Linked DNA regions of Xenopus tropicalis. The protein of the gene in region 2 purifies or fractionates together with the protein of the main gene of each other region. This does not show direct contact. Links are inferred from orthologs where the notes say so. Each region holds a gene or a part of one and is shown on either strand. Other genes may lie near its edges. The genes, in order: exosc4, exosc10, exosc3 and exosc5.

Region 1 (5,843 bases), on a different chromosome or scaffold from region 2:
CGCACAGGGAAGCCTCACACCGCACGCAGTACTTGGCAGCGGGCACCGAAGCATCGCAGTAGGTACAGTAAATGTCAGTCTTGTTTTGCTTTGGCTGCTCAGAACGAAAATGTTCCGCAATGTTCCGCAGCCGTGAGTTCTTTTTGAGTTCCGGTCGTGTCCGGAATCTCTCTCTGCATTCGGGGCAGGAAGGCTGCTCCTCTATCCCTTCCTGCCAGTCCCAGGTTTTGCCAATGCAGCTCAGGCAGAAGTTATGGCCGCAGGGCAGAGTTACGGGCTCGGTGTAAATGTTCAGGCACACGGTGCACGTTACCTCGACTCTCACATCAGCAGCCGCCGCCATCGTGGAACAAGGAGAAAGAATGGAAAGTTCCTCCGAGTCACAAAGAATCGAAACTCGTTTTACTGGATCCCTCAGGCACCAAGGCAGGAGGCGTGGCCAGAGGCACGGAAAGGAGCTGAGCGCTCAGCACACAGTTTATTAACCCCTTCTTCCCACTCAACTTGTAGCCACTGCACCTTTCACAAGCTCTAAACATCTGCAATGTAGGACTCTAAAGCCAATGACTCTAAAGTAGCCCAAACAGATGGAGCCCAGAACTGTTCCTATTAAAGCAATAATGTCATGGGAAAACATGTTTTTTCAAAACCCATCAGTTAATAGAGCGTCTCCCGCTGAATCCTGCATTGTAATCTGTTTTTCCCATGGGGCTAGCCATATTCTTCATTTCCCAGGGTGCCACAGCCATGTGACCTGAGCCCTAATAAACTTCAGTTTCACTTTACTGCTGCGCTGCAAGTTGGAGTGATATCCCCCCCCCTCACCCCCAGCAGCCGATCAGCAGAACAATGGGAAGGGAGCAAGATAGCAGCTCCCAGTAGGTATCAGAATAGCACTCAATAGTAAGAAATCCAAGTCCGGCTTGGGACTCCTCCAGTTACATGGGAGTAGGAGAAACAATAGGTTAGCTGAAAGCAGTTCTAATGGGTAGCGCTGGCTGAAAGCTCAGACTCAGGCACACTTTACTGCTGCGCTGCAAGTTGGAGTGATATCCCCCCCTCCCCCCCAGCAGCCGATCAGCAGAACAATGGGAAGGGAGCAAGATAGCAGCTCCCAGTAGGTATCAGAATAACACTCAATAGTAAGAAATCCAAGTCCGGCTTGGGACTCCTCCAGTTACATGGGAGTAGGAGAAACAATAGGTTAGCTGGAAGCAGTTCTAATGTGTAGCGCTGGCTGAAAGCTCAGACTCAGGCACACTTTACTGCTGCGCTGCAAGTTGGAGTGATATCCCCCCCCCTCACCCCCAGCAGCCGATCAGCAGAACAATGGGAAGGGAGCAAGATAGCAGCTCCCAGTAGGTATCAGAATAGCACTCAATAGTAAGAAATCCAAGTCCGGCTTGGGACTCCCCCAGTTACATGGGAGTAGGGGAAACAATAGGTTAGCTGAAAGCAGTTCTAATGTGTAGCGCTGGCTGAAAGCTCAGACTCAGGCACAAGGCACTGAGATGGCGCCTACACGCCAATATTACAGCTACAAATACATTTGTTGGTTGAAGAATAAAAGGTTAAATGGCAGAGGGAATTATTTGCTGTGTAACAGTGTCAGTACTATGAATCTACAGTGAAAGGGAAAATGTAAATGCTCAGTGGAATGTTCCTTTCCTGGTTACTATGGGGAAAACCCATAGGTGAGTAGGCTGCACAGTGACAGGGGAACATAATATATATATATATACAGTTTCTGCTCAGTAACATGGGAAAATAACAGTGTGAAATAGGAAACATGGCTCAGAGCCCAACTGGGCCGCACAATAGCGCCATAGGGACCAGCAATAGGAATTAGCGCCACTTGTAACGAACTGAGGTAAAAGCGCAATTCTACTACACGAAGTAACTATCACTTTGGCACCGCCCCTTTATGTGACGTGGAGGCGGGCACCCAGACACTTCCGGAAAGAGGAACGGAAAGTGGCGGCGCGGTGGTTTCTGGGAGTTGTAGTTTATACCGTGAGAACGTGGTGCGGGATGGCGGGGCTGGAGCTGCTGTCGGACCAGGGCTACCGGGTGGATGGCAGGAAAGCCGGGGAGCTGCGCAAGATACGGGCCAGGATGGGAGTGTTCGCTCAGGCCGATGGCTCCGCTTATATCGAGCAGGGGAACACCAAGGCCCTGGCTGTGGTATATGGGCCCCATGAGGTGAGTGCTGGGGCCACACGGACGGGCTGAATGGCTCAGAGGCATTACTATAGGGGAGAGACCGCTGGGTTACTTGGGTGGGTAAGTGGGTGGCACAGTATGGGGGTGGGTAAGTGGGTGGCACAGTATGGGGGTGGGTAAGGGGTTGGCACAGTATGGGGGTGGGTAAGGGGTTGGCACAGTATGGGGGTGGGTGGGTATGGGGGTGGGTAAGTGGGTGGCACAGTATGGGGGTGGGTAAGTGGGTGGCACAGTATGGGGGTGGGTAAGTGGGTGGCACAGTATGGGGGTGGGTAAGGGGTTGGCACAGTATGGGGGTGGGTAAGGGGTTGGCACAGTATGGGGGTGGGTAAGGGGTTGGCACAGTATGGGGGTGGGTAAGGGGTTGGCACAGTATGGGGGTGGGTAAGTGGGTGGCACAGTATGGGGGTGGGTAAGGGGTTGGCACAGTATGGGGGTGGGTAAGGGGGTGGCACAGTATGGGGGTGGGTAAGGGGTTGGCACAGTATGGGGGTGGGTAAGGGGTTGGCACAGTATGGGGGTGGGTAAGGGGTTGGCACAGTATGGGGGTGGGTAAGTGGGTGGCACAGTATGGGGGTGGGTAAGGGGTTGGCACAGTATGGGGGTGGGTAAGTGGGTGGCACAGTGGGGGTGGGTAAGGGGTTGGCACAGTATGGGGGTGGGTGGGTAAGGGGTTGGCACAGTATGGGGGTGGGTAAGGGGTTGGTACAGTATGGGGTGGGTAGGGGTTGGTACAGTATGGGGGTGGGTAAGGGGTTGGCACAGTATGGGGGTGGGTAAGGGGTTGGCACAGTATGGGGGTGGGTAAGGGGTAGGCACAGTATGGGGGTGGGTAAGGGGTTGGCACAGTATGGGGGTGGGTAAGGGGTAGGCAAAGTATGGGGGTGGGTAAGGGGTAGGCAAAGTATGGGGGTGGGTAAGGGGTAGGCAAAGTATGGGGGTGGGTAAGGGGTTGGCACAGTATGGGGGGTGGGTAAGGGGGTGGCACAGTATGGGGGTGGGTGGGTATGGGGGTGGGTAAGGGGGTGGCACAGTATGGGGGTGGGTAAGGGGTTGGCACAGTATGGGGTGGGTAAGGGGTTGGCACAGTATGGGGGTGGGTAAGGGGTTGGCACAGTATGGGGGTGGGTAAGGGGTAGGCAAAGTATGGGGGTGGGTAAGGGGTTGGCACAGTATGGGGGTGGGTAAGGGGTAGGCAAAGTATGGGGGTGGGTAAGGGGTAGGCAAGTATGGGGGTGGGTAAGGGGTTGGCAAGTATGGGGGGGGTGTAAGGGGGTGGCACAGTAGTAGGGGGTGGGATAATGGGGGGGGTTGGCACAGTATGGGGGTGGGTAAGGGGTGGCACAGTATGGGGGTGGGTAAGGGGTTGGCACAGTATGGGGGTGGGTAAGGGGTTGGCACAGTATGGGGGTGGGTGGGTAAGGGGTTGGCACAGTATGGGGGTGGGTAAGTGGTTGCTGCTGGGATACTTACCCTGCCTACACACGGCTGCCTGTGCCCACTGCTAGTCCCGCCCCCATACCCCAGTTCCATGTGTAACGGTGCCCGTAACGCTGTGCCCACAGATCCGCGGCTCTCGCAGTAAAATGCTCCACGACCGCTCAGTGGTGAACTGCCAGTACAGTATGGCGACCTTCAGCACCGGCGAGAGGAAGCGCCGCCCCCACGGGGACCGCAAGTCCAGCGAGATGACCCTGCACCTAAAGCAGACGTTCGAGGCCGCCATCCTCACCCAGTTGTACCCGCGCTCACAGATAGATATCTACGTGCAGGTGAGTGGGAGGGGCATCAGCCAGTGGGTGGGGCATCGGCAAGTTGTAACAATAGTGCGGGGCTTAAATAGGGGCTGTTTCACTTTAAATTGACCTTAAAGGGGAGGTTCACCTTTGAGTTAAACTGTTAGTATGAGAGTGATATTCTGAGGCAATTTGCAATTGGTCTTCATTTTTATATTTGTAGTTTTTTAGTTGTTTCACTTGTTCAGCAGCTATCTGGTTGCTAGGATCCAAATTACCTTATCGACCAGGGAGTGGTTTGAATGAGAGACTGGTATATGAATAGGGGAGGGGCCGAATAGAAAGATAAGGAATAAAAAGTAACAATAACTATAAAACTGGAGCCTCACAGAGCAATAGGGTTTGGCTGCCGGGGTCAGTGACCCCCATTTGAAAGCTGCAAAGAGTCAGAAGAAGAAGGGAAATAGATAAAAAACTATAAAAAATATAAATAATGAAGACCAATTGAAAAGTTGCTTAGAATTGGCCATTCTATAACGTACTAAAAGTTAACTTAAAGGTGAACCCCCCAAATCCTTTAGTCAGTGGTCCCCAATCTGTGGCCCTTGGGCTGTACTAAAATTCCCAGCATCCCCCTGGCCACCAAGAGTAGTTCCTGGGAGTCACTATGTGGGGATATCTCAGTGGTGCATGTATGTGGTATCTTGGTGCTGCCATACTGGCTCCCGTGTTGTGCTGCGCTGGATATGATCACATGACTCTCCCTGCCCAGATCCTGCAAGCAGACGGGGGCAACTACTGCACATGTGTGAATGCCGCCACCCTGGCCGTGATCGACGCCGGCATTCCCATGCGCGACTACGTGTGCGCCAGCTCGGCGGGCTTCATCGAGGACACGCCCCTCGCGGATCTCAGCTACGTGGAAGAAGCCGCCGGAGGGCCCCAACTCGCCCTGGCCCTCCTCCCCAAGTCGGATCAGATTGCGCTGCTGGAGATGAACTCGCGGCTGCACGAGGATCACCTGGAGCGGGTGATGGATGCCGCGAGCAAGGCGTGCAAGGATGTGTACGCTGTCCTGGATCAGGTGGTGCGGGAGCACTTACAGGAGCTCACTACCCTGCTGGGGGACCGCACAGCAGCTTGAATCTGATTGGCTCGGCTAGTTTGGGCTTCCTGCCCAGGCAACTCACTCGAATGACGATCTACTTTCTCTCAGGACTGCGTAATAAACAGGAGGGGGTGGGGCCTGACTTGTATCTTGAATTACAGGTAATGGGGTGGGTTTACCTTTAAGTTAACTATTAGTATGTTATAGATTGGCCAATTCTGAGCAACTTTTCAATTGGTCTTTATTATTTATTTTTGCTTCTGACTCTTTGCATCTTTCAAATGGGGGTCACTGACCCCGGCAGCCAAACCCTATTGCTCTGTGAGGCTCCAGTTTTATTGTTATTGTTACTTTTTATTCCTTATCTTTCTATTCAGCCCCTCCCCTATTCATATACCAGTCTCCCATTGAAACAACTCCCTGGTTGCTAAGGTAAGTTGCACCATAGCAACCAGATAGCTGCTGAAACTGGAGAGCTGCTGAACAATAAGTGAAAGTATTCAAAAACCACAAATAATAAAAAATGAAGACCAATTGCAAATAGTCTCAGAATATCTCTCTCTACATCGTACTAAAAGTTAACTCAGGTGACCGACTCCTTTTCATATTTTGGATATTAAAATGAAAAGTGATAAAAATATTTTTGTTATAATACAGATAAATCCTGTGTGTGTTTCCTCTGACCCAGAACTGCTCTCAGCAGGGGGGGTGAAGGCGGCCTTTAGAACAGGGTGGGAGATCCAGTCAGGGAATGCTGGGAGCGCTTCCTGCCCCTG
Region 2 (5,134 bases):
TTTATTAAATGTCCATGAGAATACTCACGTGTATAAAACACTTCCCAACATATTCAGCCTTATCTGAAGAAACAAATTTAGAAAAGGGTTGAATAAGTCCTCAAAGTTTGGTGTTCTTTTTTTTTAATAAAGTTTGGAGCATCCCACTTGCAAAACTGTGGTACTGTCTCCATTTCCTGGCTGTATATGCTGACAAGGAAAAGGCCAGGGAGTGTACCTTCCATTGTGTTTTAGTTACTACATTACCATGCTTTCCTTTTTAAAGGTTCTGTCATCCCTATCAGTATGAATTGGATCACTTTGTACCCTTGGAATCGTCAATGGAGAAGCCAGATATTCAGGTGAGACCACAAAAAGGGCAGCCTTTTAATTTGTGTAAGTAATGAGGAATTTGATTTTAATAATTCTAAAAGATCTGTTTTGTCAACAGCCCGTCCTCTCCCTGCAAGATGTCCCATGTAAGTTTGTGATGAAGCTGGAAGACTTAGTGGCACTGAACGAGAAACTGCTACAGTGTGCAGAGTTTGCAGTGGATTTAGAAGTAAGTGATTTGTTTTTTTTTTAGGGATGTTTATGTAGCAAGCTGTGTGCAGAACTTTTTTTTTTTTTATATAAATAACCAATCTTTCTTTCTTGAAAGCATCATTCCTACAGAAGCTTCCTAGGTCTTACATGCTTGATGCAGATTAGCACTCGGACGGAGGATTATATTATTGATGTGCTGGAATTAAGGAGCAACATGTACATTTTAAATGAGAGCTTCACAAATCCCTCTATTATCAAGGTCTGTAAAATGTTATTTTCCCTTTACACCTCAGGGACCCGATTAATGGTGCCTTATTATTCCTTGTTGCAATTTTGTTTTAGGTGCTTCATGGAGCTGATTCAGATATAGAGTGGCTTCAGAAGGATTTTGGCTTATACATAGTAAACATGTTTGACACTCATCAAGCAGCACGTATTCTTAATCTTGGTCGACACTCACTTGATCACCTCCTCAGGTTGTATTGCAATGTGGAGTCAGACAAGCGATATCAGCTTGCTGATTGGAGAATTCGGTGAGTTCCAGCATAAATAATTTACAAACTTTAAACCAATAAAGTATTACCTGTACATAAATTGAAACATTTGTATACAATTTCAGCCCCTTACCTGAAGAAATGATTGAGTATGCTAGAGCAGATACACACTATTTGCTTTTCATATATGACAAAATGCGAACAGCTCTACTAGGTGCAGCCAACAAGCAGCAGAACCTTCTCCAATTGGTATGGCAGAAAAGCAGGGACATTTGTCTGAAGGTAAGACTTTTTCCTAAATGTAACTTTACAAATGCATATATAGAGAATATCCTGACACAGTGTATTTCCTACAGAAATTCACAAAGTCAATCTTTACAGAGGATTCATATCTAGAGCTATACCAAAAGCAAAAGAAACACCTTAACACGCAGCAGTTGACTGCCTTCAGGCTCCTTTTTGCATGGAGAGATAAAATAGCTCGACAGGAAGATGAGAGCACAGGGTAAGGAGATATATGTGTTTATATGATGTCTGTGTCAAGGCTGTTGAATTATACTAAAACATGTCTTTTTAAGTGTTTAACAATAATACATTTATTTTTAATATTGCAGTTATGTGTTACCAAATCACATGTTGCTGAAGATAACTGAGGAACTGCCCAAGTGAGTGCATCATTGATTTTCTTAAAGTATCTTTAATATTCAACAGTTTTAATTCTAAAGCTACAACATTTTAAACTTCAGAAAATTGTATTGCCAAATAGCCCTTTTTTTTTTTTTCTTTTTGTGCTATACTGACCAACACCAACAATATACACCCTATGAATGTTTTTTTTTTTTTTTTTTTAAGAATTTTTGTATGTTCTATTTTAGGGAGCCACAAGGAATCATTGCTTGCTGCAGTCCAGTGCCTCCACTTGTGCGACAACAAATCAATGAATTATCTCTTCTTATTCATCAGGCGCGTGAGACCCCGCTTCTAAAGGTATGTTATTAAATTAAGCAACTGCGCGTCATGCTCAAACCATCTACTGTTTTAAAGGTGTCTACACTGATTTTGTGTCTTATTGGGAGACCAGGTAACACCAATCGAACATGCCTCATTGGAAACCAGACTATTGTAAGCTTGATATTATGGACAACTATGTGAACCTATTCAAGAATCTCGCCAAACTGGAATATATATATATATATATATATATGTGCTTGAGAGAGGGTCAGCACTCACAGGACTTATACAAACAAATTATTTTATTAAAGAGGAGACTAACGTTTCGGCTAGCACTCTAGCCTTTTTCAAAAGGCTAGAGTGCTAGCCGAAACGTTAGTCTCCTCTTTAATAAAATAATTTGTTTGTATAAGTCCTGTGAGTGCTGACCCTCTCTCAAGCACCTTCAACATTATTTGGACCTGCACCCAGGCAACAGCAACTTATCTATACGTGAGTGCCGGCATTTACTTGGAAGTTTATATATATGGGCTGTGTGTTCCCTCTGAGATCACATGACCAGAAATAATGTAGCTTTAACTGTAACAGGTGGAAGTGTGGAATAAAAGGGCAGATTCTGTCCATTAATTGGCTAATGTGACCTAGCATGTATGTGTGTCCATTAATTGGCTAATGTGACCTAGCATGTTTGTGTGAATCCTATGATCCCAGGAGGTGGCCCCTTCATTCTTAAAATGGCAATTTTCTATTTAGGAATACCCAACAGCACATACTGCTAAAGTATATTTTTATGAAAATGGTTTATTTAGATGAAGCTGTGTGTAAGCTTGTTAAAACAATATATTTTATAGAGACCTACATTGTTTGGGGGTATAGTTTTCCTTTAGCAGATACATGGCTGAAACAGATTTATATTAAAAAGTCATTGCTCTGTTGCTATTCATTTATTGGGGCATGAAAAAGCACATAACAGTGAGTGATGTTTGCACAATGAGCATGTAGAACTTCAGGAAGAGGTTAGTTATAAGCCTGGCTACAGGTATTTAAGGTACGCCATGCCAGTACAGCCAGATTCAGCAATGGCAGCCCCCTCATAGAAGAACATGGGGGATCAGGTAATGGAAAAATATTAGGCTACTACTTTTATGGCAAAATTATAAATAGCATGCGAAGAAAATGTTATTTTTCATAAATGATCAGTTTTCTGGAAGGATGGGAGTGGCCTATTTAGAACCTGACACACGGAGATCTTCCTGTATGCTTACATCACATCATCACGTCCAGGCTTCGCCCTTACTTTTTTCCTATTGGACCAATTCAGTGGGTGCTTGTGCACTCCAGTTGCATAAATTGAAAGGTAATCGGTTTCTCCCTTGCAGTGGCATAGGCAAACTGACTCAACATATCACAAATCTAACATACTGTTACAGGAAGCAATGTCAGACTGACTGGAGCCAAGGCCAATAGGAGTTAAGTCTTTATAGGAATCACAATCCCATTAATACATAAAATCTAGAAGCCAGAGGTTCCAAATAGAAGCATAGTAAAGATGCACCTACCCTGTATCCACCCCTCAGATGTGCTGTGCCTATTGTGGCTATTTATTATTCAGTGTTCTACATGTATGCAAGGAAAAATGTGGTTCCATCCACACCAAACTCAGTGACTGTATCTCAGTGAGAGAACCTGATAAAGGGTCAGGCATAAAATCTATGTAACACTAATATGAATAAATTTTGGGGTGTTCTGGTTTCCTCCCAGACTCCCATCCTGACCACTTTGGGAATGTGACAAAATATATTTAAAAAATAATACACTGGGACAGAGACTTATGTAAAAATGATGTATAATCTCTTTAAAGGAGAAGGAAAGTCATTTTGTCAATTTAATGCCAATAGATTTGCCACATTAGTGCCACCTAGAACAATATATTTATTCTGCAGAAACCATTACCATACCTGAGTAAACAGCTTTAGAAGATTTCTCTGTTTGCTTAAGATAACAGCTGCCATTTTAAGTAGCTTCCTGCCTGCAGTCTAGCCGTTAGCTGATATCACACATTCCTAAGGGAGGGGGGAGGGAGTTCTTAGCATTCTGGTGGGAGGGGGAGCAGGAGAAGGGGAGAGAGGAAATAACTTTGCAGGCTCTGGCCACAGGAATTAAGGATGTTTCTGAGAGAGTAAGTCAGACACTGGAACATCATGTTTACAAAAAAAGAGGCAAAAAAATCCTGTGTTTCTTTTGATAGAGTGTAAGTAAGAGAGAGTAAGTGCTTATGGCTGTATTTACATGAAGCTTACTTAGTTTTTACCTACCTTCCCCTTTAAAGCACTGCAGTATGTAAAGAATACAAATAATAATAATACAAATAATTTTACTTATGCCTATTTGAATCTATCTGACAACACATCTTTTCTGGGACCTGTAACTCTGCATGACTCAAAATGCATTTGGACTTTGACCATTTCTAAAATAACCTCTAATTTCTACTTTCCTTTGCAGTGATGAACATATCATATGCCAAAGGCATAACATTAATAAAATATTAATAAGTTTACCACTCTTGCAGAATTGATTGCAAGTACGGGTATGGGACATGTAATCCAGAATGCTCAGGACCTGGGTTTTTCCGGATAAGGGGTCTATCTGTAATCTCCATACTTTAAGTCTTCTAAAAAATAATTTAAACATTAAATAAACCCAACAGATTTGTTGTGCTTCCAGTTGGATTAATTATATCTTATATCAAGTACAATGTACTGTTTATTATGGAGAGAAAAAAAGGAAATATGCTTTAACATTTTAAAATATCTGTTTAAAATGAAGTCTATAAAAGATAGCCTTGCTGTAATTTGGGGCTTTCTGAATAATGGATTTCATTCTGTTTATATTTACAACAACTATTTTTTCCCCTCCTTTAGTCAGAAATAAGCAGTGCAAAGAAGAAGGGTCCCATGGCAAATCCCGAGGTAAAATGTCAGTGTATTAGTATGCTAGACAGTAATAAAAGAATGATGATGATAAATGACCTGCTTGTCTTCTCTTACTCAGAGAATGGAGAATTTGCTTTTTGGCCCTCACGACACATCTTTACAGTTGGCAGATAATAATCATCTCTACAGTGGGACAGGTAACTCAAATGGTTTCTTAAACATACCTCCCAA
Region 3 (5,597 bases), on a different chromosome or scaffold from region 2:
CGGGGCATTGAAAATCCCTGTGCCTGTGCCCAGGCACAAGCAGCCGATATCCGACAAAAAAGGCAAGACTTTGTTTTTTCAGCAAGTATCTGCTACATGTGCCTGCACCCAAGCATATTCGATGCATTTGAGTGCAGGCAGAGTTAGGGGGATTTTTAAGCAGATGTAGCGTATTTTTGGCAAGTGGTTTTCAGCTTGCTGAAAAAAAACGCTAGATACACTATGGGGCCTATTTATTAAAGTACGACAGGTACGAATTACAAAAAATTTGTATTTGATTGTACTGTGCGTATTTTCTGCGACTTTTTGGTACTTTGCGACAAAATTTGTGCGACAAAATTGTATTGTTGCGCCGAGTACGAACTTTTCGGATTCACTCAAGCTTTGGTATCGTGACGTTCCTTGGGCCAGGTTGGAACTGCAGAGTGCCATTGAGCCCTATGGGAGACTTTCCTTGGGCCAGGTTGGAGCTGCAGAGTGCCATTGAGCCCTATGGGAGACGTTCCTTGGGCCAGGTTGGAGCTGCAGAGTGCCATTGAGCCCTATGGGAGACTTTCCTTGGGCCAGGTTGGAGCTGCAGAGTGCCATTGAGCCCTATGGGAGACTTTCCTTGGGCCAGGTTGGAGCTGCAGAGTGCCATTGAGCCCTATGGGAGACTTTCCTTGGGCCAGGTTGGAGCTGCAGAGTGCCATTGAGCCCTATGGGAGACTTTCCTTGGGCCAGGTTGGAGCTGCAGAGTGCCGTTGAGTCCTATTGGAGGCTTCCAAAATCATGCACAGAAGGATCAATGTCAGAAAGGTTTTCCTGCTGTTTACGATCGTTCAGATACGAAAATTGTGACTTTCGGATCGCCAATAAGATATTATCGTGACTAATACGATTTTTTTGTAAGCATGTTTGTGATATTTGCTGTCATCAGAAATTATTGTATTTAATCCAAATTTTTCTCAATTTGGAATTTGAACTTGTACTTTGATGAATAATGCAGGGGATTTCAGCCTGAATTTGAGGTAAACAGATAAGGACCTGCCAGGATCTATAGCAGTGGTCCCCAACCAGTGGCTTGGGGGCAACATGTTGCTCACCACCCCTTTTGATGTTCAGTGACCTCAAAGTAGGTGCCTATTTTTAAATTTCTGGCTTGGAGGCATGATTTGAAAGCACAGAAACACATTTTACTCCAAGCAGAGCCTCCTACAGGCCAGCAGTTTACATGTGGCTACCAAACAGCCAATCACAGCCCTTATTTGGCATCCCCAAAGAGCTTTTTTTGCGCTTGTGTTGCTCACTAGTAAAAAAGGTTGGGGGGCCCTGATCTATAGGGAGCTCCAATAAACGAGGCACTTTTAAAGATAGTATGAATTTTATAATTGCACATAATTTTGGGAAGAGGTGGCAGACAAAAAAACTTGCCCATAATTTCTGATGGCAGCATTGCCTTTCCATACAAATATGTCACCCAACAGGCAATTTCTAACACTGTAAGTGGGTTGAAGTCACTATTTATTGCATAAGAAGACAATGACTAGATCAGCACAGACTGCAAGTCACTTTCCTAAATACTATTGGGCCAGGTTAGAAAAATAAATACTGGCAGCGATTTGGGAAAAGAAAACACAAAAAGAGAACACTGCCGCCATCTAGCGATCAGCCAGAACACTGCACTATACGGAACAAAAGAATTGAATTGAGTAGAATTGAATCGCTTTTCGAACCCTTGCCCAGCTCTCCAGTACTTGCTTCCTTGCAAATCTATTGGTGTATTACCGTCACGTGCTAAGTGTAGTAGGCAGACGCACTTCCGCTCTGATAGCAGCATGTCAGCCGTGAGTATTGAAGATGCGGTCGGTCAGATCGTTCTGCCTGGGGATGTGCTTGTTCTTTCTACCCAGTCCCGGGATGCTCCTCTGTCTCTGAGCGGCCCCTCTACATCTAACAGGCCCCGGGTTGTGTGTGGCCCCGGGCTCATGCGGCAGGAGGATGATCTGCTAGTGAATAAGTGTGGGCTCCTGCGGCACAGGGACCCGGCAATCTACTGGGTTGATTCTCAGCAAAAGCGGGTAATGGTCTCTTTCTGTGTGTTGGGAACGCCTGGTCTCGGTGCTAGGGCACAATTATACTTGCTTTTTTCCTAGTACTTTTATGTGCAGCACATTACTCACCTATGAAGCACCTATAAAATCCAACTCCTAATGCAATTTGGTTATTAAATGGTCATTTATCCTTTGTTTTCCTGCAGTATTAACTGGTGGGCAGCGTTCATTTACTAAAGGGATCACCAACTTTTTTTTTACCCTTTTGAACAGAAAATATGGGCTGCGATTAACTATTTGGCCGCCTATAGGAGGCTTCATTTGTGTTTTATGCAACTTAAGCCAGAAATTCAAGACTGCCCACTGGGAGAAACATCCAAGGGGTTGATGAGCAACATGTTCGGGAGCCACTGGTTGGCGATCACTGATTTAACATAAGCTTTGCGGTCTTGACATAACTTTAAAGGAGAAGGAAAAGCTAAGTCACTTGGGGGTGCCAAAATGTTAGGCACCCCCAAGTGACTTTAATCGCTTTTACCCCGGGCTGGTGCCCCTGTACGGAGAGAACAGCACCAGCCTGGGGTAGCTGCAGCGCTTCCTCCTTCGCGTGCGCATGCGCAGTAGAGTGAAAAGCCGAACTGAAGGCGGCTTTTTCACTCTACTGCGCATGCGCCGGACTCGGAGTCGCAGCTTAACGAAGCCGAAAGGAGGAAGCGCATCGCCCCAGGTGCCCTGGCCTGGTGCTGTTTTCTCCTAACAGGGGCACCAGCCCGGCGTACGAGGTAATCGATTCAAGTCACTTGGGGGTGCTTAAAATTTTAGCAACCCCAAGTGACTTAGCCTTTCCTTCTTCTTTAAGCGAGAAAAGAGGGCTTTAATGCTAGATTACCAAAAGGACTGCATCAATGATAGTATACCTATTCAACATGCAACATGATTCTCAAGCTTACTTGATGCCTATGAGCAGGCCTGGACTGGCAATCTGTGGATTCTGGCAAATGCCAGAGGGGCTACCGTAAAATGCCATAGACATTCACTATTTATTGGGCTGGTGTGGGGACTGTTTAGCCTCTGTGTACTTGAAATGCCATGGCCTTTTTTAATCTGTCAGGGTCTGCCCAAGGGCCCCTTACGCAGGACTTTAGGCTGCTGAATTAGACTGGGGTGGGCAAGTCACCAGCTTTATCAACCCATGTATAACTAGCTTAAGCCTCAGAAAAACAAAATACTGCCACATGGATGAATCTGCCAAACAAGGGTCACCTTTGTTTACATGTTATTGTTTTTTGAGGCTTAAAGGGGACCTGTCATCCAGACATAAAAAGCTGTATAATAAAAGTCCTTTTCCAATTAAACATAAAACCCAAATTCTGTTTTTTATTAACATATCCATGCCCTAATATTATAAAGGCATTTAAAAATCCCAGCTGTCAATCATGTATTGCCTGCCCCGCCTCTATGCCTTAGGCATAGAGGCGGGGCAGACAATAACTTTCCATTTAGCACTTCCTAGATTTCGCTGCTTTTTTTACTTTTCCCCTCCCAGGCATCTGGTCCTACGTTCTATCACAGTGCTGTCCAACTGGCGGCCCGCGACCCCCCTCTGTGTGGCCCCCCACCTGTCTGGCTGCTTTGATGGCTTACTCTTGTGTAAGATTTAAATGGTATCAGTACTGAGATTAACTGGCCCCCTGCATGGTTCTCACGTCATATTCAGGCTGTAATCCCTCTGTATTGTTTAAACATGTAATCCCCTGTGTTGTTCACACCTTTTAGTCCCTGCATTGTTCACCCCCTGCAGTGTTCACACCTCAGGCTGTAATCACCCCCATTGTTCCCCTGTTCACACCTCAAACTGTAGGAGCAGTAGAAACCCACAAATAATCCCTGCACACTACAAAAAGAACATATACTGAGGTGGTACTGCAAATAATTTTTTTTTTTAATATATAGTTATTGTGCAGACTGTAGGAGCAGTGACAGAATTGTGTCACTGTATGCTGCCTGTGTGTGCGCCATACAGCATAGGGCAAGCAGAGTATGGCACACACAGGCAGCATAGGGCAGCAGAGTATGGCACACACAGGCAGCATAGGGTAGGCAGAGTATGGCACACACACACAGGCAGGGTAGGGCAGGCAGAGTATGGCACACACAGGCCAAGTATGGCACAAACCAGCCAAGAATGGCACACACAGTCAAAGTATAGAACACGCAGGCTGGGTAGGGAAGGCAGAATATGGCACACACAGGCAGGGTAGGGAAGGCAGAGTATGGCACACACAGGCAGGGTAGGGAAGGCAGAGTATGGCAGGTTTTTGCTGTACTACAACCATTAATATGGGTATGGTCATGTGATAACACGGGTGTGGTTTCAAGTGGGTGCGGTTTCAAAAAGGGGAGTGGTCAAAACTGGCTTCCATTATCGGCCCTCCACCACGTAGGTCGGAAAAATTCCGGCCCTCGGTAGCACCGAAGTTGGACAGCACTGTTCTATCACATAAACACACTGCTTGCTGCGATTCTGTAATTCCAAGACTGTAGTGTAAGTCAAGTTTATTTTGCTCAACTAATTTGGAATTATTTCTTAGGGTGATAGCTCCCCTTTAAGGTGGCCATACACATTCAGATTTTAGTCTTCCTCTAACGAACGTTCGGATATCGATTGTTTAAATGCGACAATCTAAAACTAAGATTTAAATTATAGGACAAAATCCTAAAATAATAAATTAAAGGATGTTTTGAAAGTAAAAGACAGCAATCGTACGAAAGTGACATCCTAGAAATGCATTCCAAGCAGGGCTGGAACTAGGGGTAGGCAGAAGAGGCACCTGCCTAGGGCGCAATGGTGGCCCCAATGGGGGCGCCAGTTAGCTTCCTCTTCTTTTACCTACCTCTAGTTCCGAACCCTGTTTCCCCACTGCAGCAGCCCTGGCAACCCCACCACCCAGTGTGCAGGCATGTCTTCTCACTTGCGCATGCAAGAGGGGAGGGGAGGGGCAAGCCGACCAGGTTGCCTAGGGCGCCTGGTTGGCTTGTCCCAGTACTGCCCCCAAGGATGTTTTGTATAATTATGTTGGTGCGTATATGTATGTATAACTTTCATTTTTTTTTTTTTTTTTATATATGGTGTAAATGTCTATATGTCTTGATGTTTTTTCCCACACAGCTTTATAAATTATATAAATACATTTTATTTTATAAACATATTTACTGATTTAACCACACGCACACTTTTACACAGTACAAACACGTGCATTTAACCACACACATACATTTTAACACACACGCACACACATACATTTTAGCTCCATTATGCTTGGGTGTATTATATTGAGATACTCATGGGATGGGGGTGCAGTTAAACTCTAAACATAATCTGTTATTGCTGTGAAGGAACAACGGGGACACACTTTAATTCTTCCACTTGTTATCTTATAGTATGTACCAGTGAAAGGAGACCATGTTATTGGAATTGTAACTACAAAATCAGGAGACATATTTAAGGTGGACGTTGGAGGCAGTGAGCAAGCATCATTGTCCTATCTGGCATTTGAAGGTGCA
Region 4 (5,918 bases), on a different chromosome or scaffold from region 2:
GAATACAAAAATACTGTTTTATAATTACAGAGAAAAGGAATATATGTTTTAAAATTTTGAAGTATTTGCTTATAATGGAGGCCTTCCCGTAATATATAGCTTTCTGAAAAACAGGTTTCCAGATATGGATCCCATACCTGTATTTTAAATGTGTTTGCCCCTCATGCGAATACAGAAAAATTATTGCCTATACTAGTGAGATTTTTCAAATGTTTTCAGAGTCTGCTGGGCTGTATTTAGTGTAAACACAATGTGCAACAATTATGGATGCTGCACACAGCTCTTATTCTCCTGGTATATAAAAATAAGTAAAAACTTGATAATAAATATTAAAAAAGTAGTGCAATCAGAGCCAGCCCAGCCTCTCTGACTAACTTGAGTGTATTTGTTGTATTTCACCTGTTAAAAAAGGCTATTTTATTTGGTATGGTGAGGATTGATTGTGATCTTGCAAACATGCATGCCAATGCATAGCAGCACAATACTGTTAATTAGTGTTTTAGTGTAGTGTATTATTTTGATATTGTCCTTACCTTTGTATTTAAGGGCACAGCAATAGCTGTAGAACATTCTACAGGAGAATAACCACAGAGAAAATAAAAGCCTGTTGGCACACAGATTTACAAAAGAAATTGACCCTGAAGTCTGAAGATAAACTGACCATTTCAACTAGAGCACAATATGGAATTTTCACATTACCAACAAAGCCCAAAAACCTAGTGCAATTTCACTAAGGTTGTACAATGTGAAAATGCTGCACCTTTGTTTCTATTAATGCTGAGCTGCAACACGAGTGCAGCGAGCAACAGCGTCCCGCCCTAAATGGCAGCCAATCAGTGCACAGCTCTGCAGACAAGCCTCCCCATACAATCAGTGACCTTCCAATACCCAGGAAGCTTAACTGACTTAATACAAACAGCAAGACCGGCAAATGTCACTTTCCTCCTAAACCCCCTCACTCTTATCCTCACTTTACTCCTCCATTTGACACCTAGTATTAAGGATAAAACCTTTTATTTGGCCTTTATTTCAAGTGTCATCCTTCCGGTTTACATATTTCTGTCCTTTAACCCTTTCAATGCTGTCCAAAACAGAATCTATGGCACATTAGCTGTTAAATCAGACAAATACTAGGCATATCCTAATTAAACTGTAGTAATAGTTATTTAATATGCAAGAATAAGTAATAATTAAAACCATCTAGTTTTGCTCCAGACCACGGGGCTCTTCAAGAGGTTATGTTCCCCTACAGGCCAAAGTGCTCCTCTGATTTCTGTCCATGACATTATCATTGTATTATAATCCAGCTCCAAAATGTATGGTATAGTGCTGGGGGAGGGGGTTCCATATTTTTTTTTCCCACCAGAGCATCACACATCTTTAATGCGTAACACCTTGGTCTTGCCCGTTAAATCACATAACTAAAAGCACAATTTAGGCTACAAGTATCTGCAAATAATTATGTTTTCTAAAAACATTTTACACTGCACCATGAAAAAAAAGTTAGAACACCTTGAAAATATATATTCTTTCCCGTATGCAAAAACACAGAGAATCCAATACAGTGTAAGCAATAACTGTGGTACAGTACAGAACTAGGAATATTACTAGAATGTTGCTTCTATAATACTCCAACCTATAATATTCCAGTCCCAGAACTGCTGATCAAAAGCACAGGCAATTTTATACAAATACTTATATATAGATATGTACAGGGCTGTGTATACAAGTAGCACTATACAAATATATACCTGGAAATATGTGTGTGCATTTTGGGAGTATGTATACAAACATATTCTTCCTATTTATATAGCTGAAACAATGTTGTCACCAGCTGGTTTATGGACAGACAATCAACCAACCTGTTATTTAAGGCTAAAGCATATAAATGTATATACTATATAAGCTGTAAATTCAAATGTAAATTTGACTCCTTACAAATCTAGTCAGCAATATCACATATTTTTACATAATTCTGAACTGTAACTATAACCCACGTTTATTATAGCATATAACTTTTAAAACACATCTCCCAATTCAAACAGTTCTTGTAGTTCCCATGTATATACGTCAGACAGGCATACTAGTATTTTAGATGCGATGTACCTTATGGTACAAGATGTGTATACTTCTCAGTATACAAGACCAGGGTCTCGCATTTAGAAATAAAACATTTAAACTCCCCTTCCATCTGATTATCGTCTGTTTCACTCACACCAACGCGACCCCTGTACTCCTCTCACCTGTCTCCCACCGGCGCCTCTCCACCCTCCTGCCACAGTCCGGACCCTTAGAAGTGCCCTCAGCGCCGCCATCTTGCTTCGGAATGCTATCCCACTGCCTACATTTCTCTTAGGACCCCTATTCAACAGCTTGTCAAAAATAACCTCTGAAGTGAGAAATTGCGAGAATTGCGTATTTCCTATTATTCCCTGGGAAAAAAGGCTTTGGCATTGTTGTGTATAATTATACAGGCAAGTGTGGCGGTTGCCAGACCCCAAGGACCCCGGAAGTGTTTGCACATGTGGAAAGAAGGTTCTGATGGAGGCTGTAGGTTCTGTATTGCGGGAATACGGGTGTGAGCAGAGTTTGCTGAGCCGTCCCGATGGATCCGCTACGTTTCTTCAGGGTTAGTTTTGGCGCGCCTATAATTCCTCAAATCTTATGTGGAATACGAGGATATCAAGGGATACATATTGAAGGGAAGCGTAAAATGTTTTGCGGCTAAATCATTGGATGGAAATTGAATTGTAAATCCAGTGGCCGTTATTCTCATTTAATGGAACAGCTCTTCCATGTTGTCATAATGCAGAGGACAGCAATGGGGAATGTATGTGTTGTATTTGTCTAAAGTAGGTGGTTGCTGAACTGCAAACTTGTAAATTAAGCAATTTTCCAATATAGGATAATAAAAAATGTTCATGATTTTAAAATTGATACAATTGTTACTGAGAAAAAAGTTTCAGCCTGTTTATTGCAACTCTCTCCTGGTTTCCCCAGCTACTCTTAAAGGAACAGTAACATCAAAAAATGAAAGTGTTTTAAAGTAATTAAAATATAATGTGCTGTTGCTCTGCAAAAAACTGGTGTTTTTGCTACAGAAAAGCTACAATATAAATAAGCTGCTGTGTAGCCACGGGGGCAGCCATTCAAGCTGGAAAAAAGGAGAAAAGGCACAGGTTACGTAGCCGATAACTAGTAGATAAGCCCCATATAATGGGGGTTTATCTGTTATCTGTTAAGTAACCTGTGCCTTTTCTCCTTTGAATGGCTGCCCCCATAGCTACACAGCAGCTAACTTATATAAACTATAGTAGTCTTTCTGAGGCAAACACACCAGTTGTAGCAATATAGGGCAACAGTACATTATATTGTAATTACTTTTATACACTTTCATTTTTTGGTGTTACTGTTCCTTTAACTACTCCAAATCTCACAATGCCTTGCTTGTTCTGCCATTATCAGCTGCAAAGTAAAATAAAAGAATAGTACAAGGCAAATTTGTAGGAACTGAGGTGGTGGTGAGGAGAGACATTTTTTATTTAATTATTTCTATAGTCTGGTAGCAAATAATAGCAAAGGCAGACAAACTGCTCTTGGAATTTTATTTAGAAATTACTTAAAAAAAAACATTTAACATGTTTAATTCCTGCATATTATAACACTGCTTAAAATTACAATTCATTTGTACAAATACATATATATTTATTTAGGAAAAGGTCCTTTAAAATATTGGACACCAAATTGAATTGGGGACAGACTGACCATACTCTTACTCTAGAGCTATAAACGGTCATGTACAGCACTGTGATTATGATACCTGTGTGTACGCATTTAAATAAACCAAAATATAGGGAATATACACCATATTAAAAAATATAAGGGTATTGGAAGTCTCCTTAGAGTGCCATGACCATATACAGGCACAGAACCAAAGGCCAAGTGGTTTAATACAGGTCATTGAACTCTGAGGTGGCTTCTAATATCCACATATTTTACAACAGAGGAGGTTTTAGTCAGTAAATTATACAAATTACATCACTGATCAATGTTGGTAAAGAAAATCTTGTGTATTATAGCTATAGGGGCTTGTAGTTTTGGGCTCCTAGGCTCTGCACCATATTCAATTTTAGAATAAAGATTAGAAATGAGTTTCAACAAAAAATGTGAGCTATCCTTACAAAGTAGCAATCCAGTACCATGTTTAGGTGGTTTATAGCATTTTGACCAGTTAATAATTTTTAATGCAGTATAATTTTTAATGCAGTTCTCCAGTCACACAAAAATAGATTAATTCGGAAAAAAGAAACTAAAGGGTGTAAGCACATTGACCTAGATATCAAGCAGGTATATCATGGTGGCTTAGAATTCACACCAAACTCTCTGCAACTCTGTTCTACCAAGCTGCATTGATCAAGACCTATCACTTTATCCACCTTGTGTACAGTTTTACTCACCACCTTTTTATACCTATCACCATTTGAAAACTCGAAAGAGGGACACAATTAACTGCCATGCTCCTCCCGCCATTTGAAAACTACAAAGAGGGACACAGTTAACTGCCATGGTATGACTGCACCCACATTTTACCACACCCAAAATACCATGATCATAAAATTAAAACTAAAACCAAAAAAAAAAATCCAGACATGCCAGTAAAATCACTGCATAAATAACCAGAGAAGCCTCCATTAACTAAAGACATGACCATAAGATCACTGCATAAAATGGGTAGATTGAATGCATTGCCTCACTTAAGTTGCACAAGCAGCAAATCACAAACTTGTTCTTTTCTAGTACCCCCATGGTGCTTGTCATTTTGCCTTTGCCTGAAAAGGCAATTTTTCCATTTCCACAGTGGAACTTACGGCCATCTGTGATTATGATTGGCTGTGTTTGAGCCCCTGCTGAGATTGCTTTAAAGAAGAAAGAAAGGTAAAAACTCATAATTCAGGTTCGTTTATATATCACACAGGCAGTAATCTGGCTACTGTAGTTTTATGTGACTAAAGCTGACATACATGCACCGATGCACCTAGTTTCATACGATATTCACTGTGTGTATGGTGGATCGACGAGGTGAACATCACAAAAGCTTCGGATATGTCGCCTCGTGGAACGGGCGGGACAGAAGACTTTTATACGAGCAAAATCTGTGTTTAGGGCTTAATTGTCAGGTGGAGGTAGAATCCTTATTGTTTCTACCTCCATATCTGACAATTCAACTCTGAATGCCAGTGGAGGGTGGGAACGATCTTTCCTGAGACAAATGGTTGCAGGAAAGATTGTAATTGTAAGGTGTATGGCCACCTTAAGGCTAACTGTTCAACTGATTTCCATGTTGCTTTCCTGTAGGCGACACATCTGTAATGGCTGGAGTATATGGCCCTGCAGAGATCAAGGTCAGCAGAGAAATCCATAATAAAGCCACATTAGAGGTGATCCTCAGGCCCAAGACTGGGTTGCCTGGTAGGTGCTTCCATCAGAGACATGTTCTGTTTTTCTGAAGGCAAGAATTACATCTAACAGCTAACAGACAAATACTTTGCATCATTGCAGTCTAACCACAAAAAAGTTGCCCATGTGACATGTTTCTGGTTTTCTGTACTTAGACATTTCTTTTCACTTTTTATCTACCTGGAATATCATTCTTTTTTTTTTTTTATTCCCCAAAGCTATCCAGGAGAAAAACCAGGAGCAGCTAATTCGTGAAACATGTGAATCTGTCATCATTGGATCCTTGCATCCTAGAACCTCAATAACCATTGTGCTACAGATAGTCAGTGATGCTGGATCTGTATCCTAAACCCACTTTGATATTCTAGCTTTTGACTATTATAGGCAATAACAAATTTTATTGTGTTTTTTATTTGTGCCTACTGTAATAAGCACAGGGGTCAGTCTGTCTTTGAAATTCA

The links.
Region 1: the proteins of exosc10 (region 2) and exosc4 purify together in Homo sapiens (affinity purification with mass spectrometry; 9 studies listed by BioGRID and IntAct, with this or other methods). This does not show direct contact. The link is inferred for Xenopus tropicalis from reciprocal best matches to the Homo sapiens genes EXOSC10 and EXOSC4.
Region 3: the proteins of exosc10 (region 2) and exosc3 purify together in Homo sapiens (affinity purification with mass spectrometry; 8 studies listed by BioGRID and IntAct, counting the BioPlex papers as one, with this or other methods). This does not show direct contact. The link is inferred for Xenopus tropicalis from reciprocal best matches to the Homo sapiens genes EXOSC10 and EXOSC3.
Region 4: the proteins of exosc10 (region 2) and exosc5 purify together in Homo sapiens (co-immunoprecipitation; 8 studies listed by BioGRID and IntAct, with this or other methods). This does not show direct contact. The link is inferred for Xenopus tropicalis from reciprocal best matches to the Homo sapiens genes EXOSC10 and EXOSC5.

The regions. Positions count from the first base shown.
Region 1 is NC_030682.2:151,307,976-151,313,818, reverse strand, and holds exosc4 (exosome complex component RRP41), read left to right. Parts: upstream 1-2,027; 5' UTR 2,028-2,031; coding exon 2,032-2,202; intron 2,203-3,788; coding exon 3,789-3,995; intron 3,996-4,731; coding exon 4,732-5,103; 3' UTR 5,104-5,721; downstream 5,722-5,843. Other genes in the region: E3 ubiquitin-protein ligase TRIM7, read right to left, coding at 1-343. UniProt on the Homo sapiens protein: Non-catalytic component of the RNA exosome complex which has 3'->5' exoribonuclease activity and participates in a multitude of cellular RNA processing and degradation events.
Region 2 is NC_030683.2:64,881,495-64,886,628, reverse strand, and holds part of exosc10 (exosome component 10), read left to right. Parts: intron 1-265; coding exon 266-341; intron 342-430; coding exon 431-541; intron 542-640; coding exon 641-784; intron 785-867; coding exon 868-1,058; intron 1,059-1,144; coding exon 1,145-1,301; intron 1,302-1,375; coding exon 1,376-1,524; intron 1,525-1,633; coding exon 1,634-1,684; intron 1,685-1,894; coding exon 1,895-2,006; intron 2,007-4,891; coding exon 4,892-4,939; intron 4,940-5,021; coding exon 5,022-5,100; intron 5,101-5,134. UniProt on the Homo sapiens protein: Catalytic component of the RNA exosome complex which has 3'->5' exoribonuclease activity and participates in a multitude of cellular RNA processing and degradation events.
Region 3 is NC_030677.2:113,706,767-113,712,363, reverse strand, and holds the start of exosc3 (exosome complex component RRP40), read left to right. Parts: upstream 1-1,725; 5' UTR 1,726-1,817; coding exon 1,818-2,060; intron 2,061-5,474; coding exon 5,475-5,597. UniProt on the Homo sapiens protein: Non-catalytic component of the RNA exosome complex which has 3'->5' exoribonuclease activity and participates in a multitude of cellular RNA processing and degradation events.
Region 4 is NC_030684.2:79,501,601-79,507,518, reverse strand, and holds the start of exosc5 (exosome complex component RRP46), read left to right. Parts: upstream 1-2,511; 5' UTR 2,512-2,541; coding exon 2,542-2,629; intron 2,630-5,355; coding exon 5,356-5,469; intron 5,470-5,675; coding exon 5,676-5,797; intron 5,798-5,918. Other genes in the region: bckdha (2-oxoisovalerate dehydrogenase subunit alpha, mitochondrial), read right to left, coding at 2,244-2,315. UniProt on the Homo sapiens protein: Non-catalytic component of the RNA exosome complex which has 3'->5' exoribonuclease activity and participates in a multitude of cellular RNA processing and degradation events.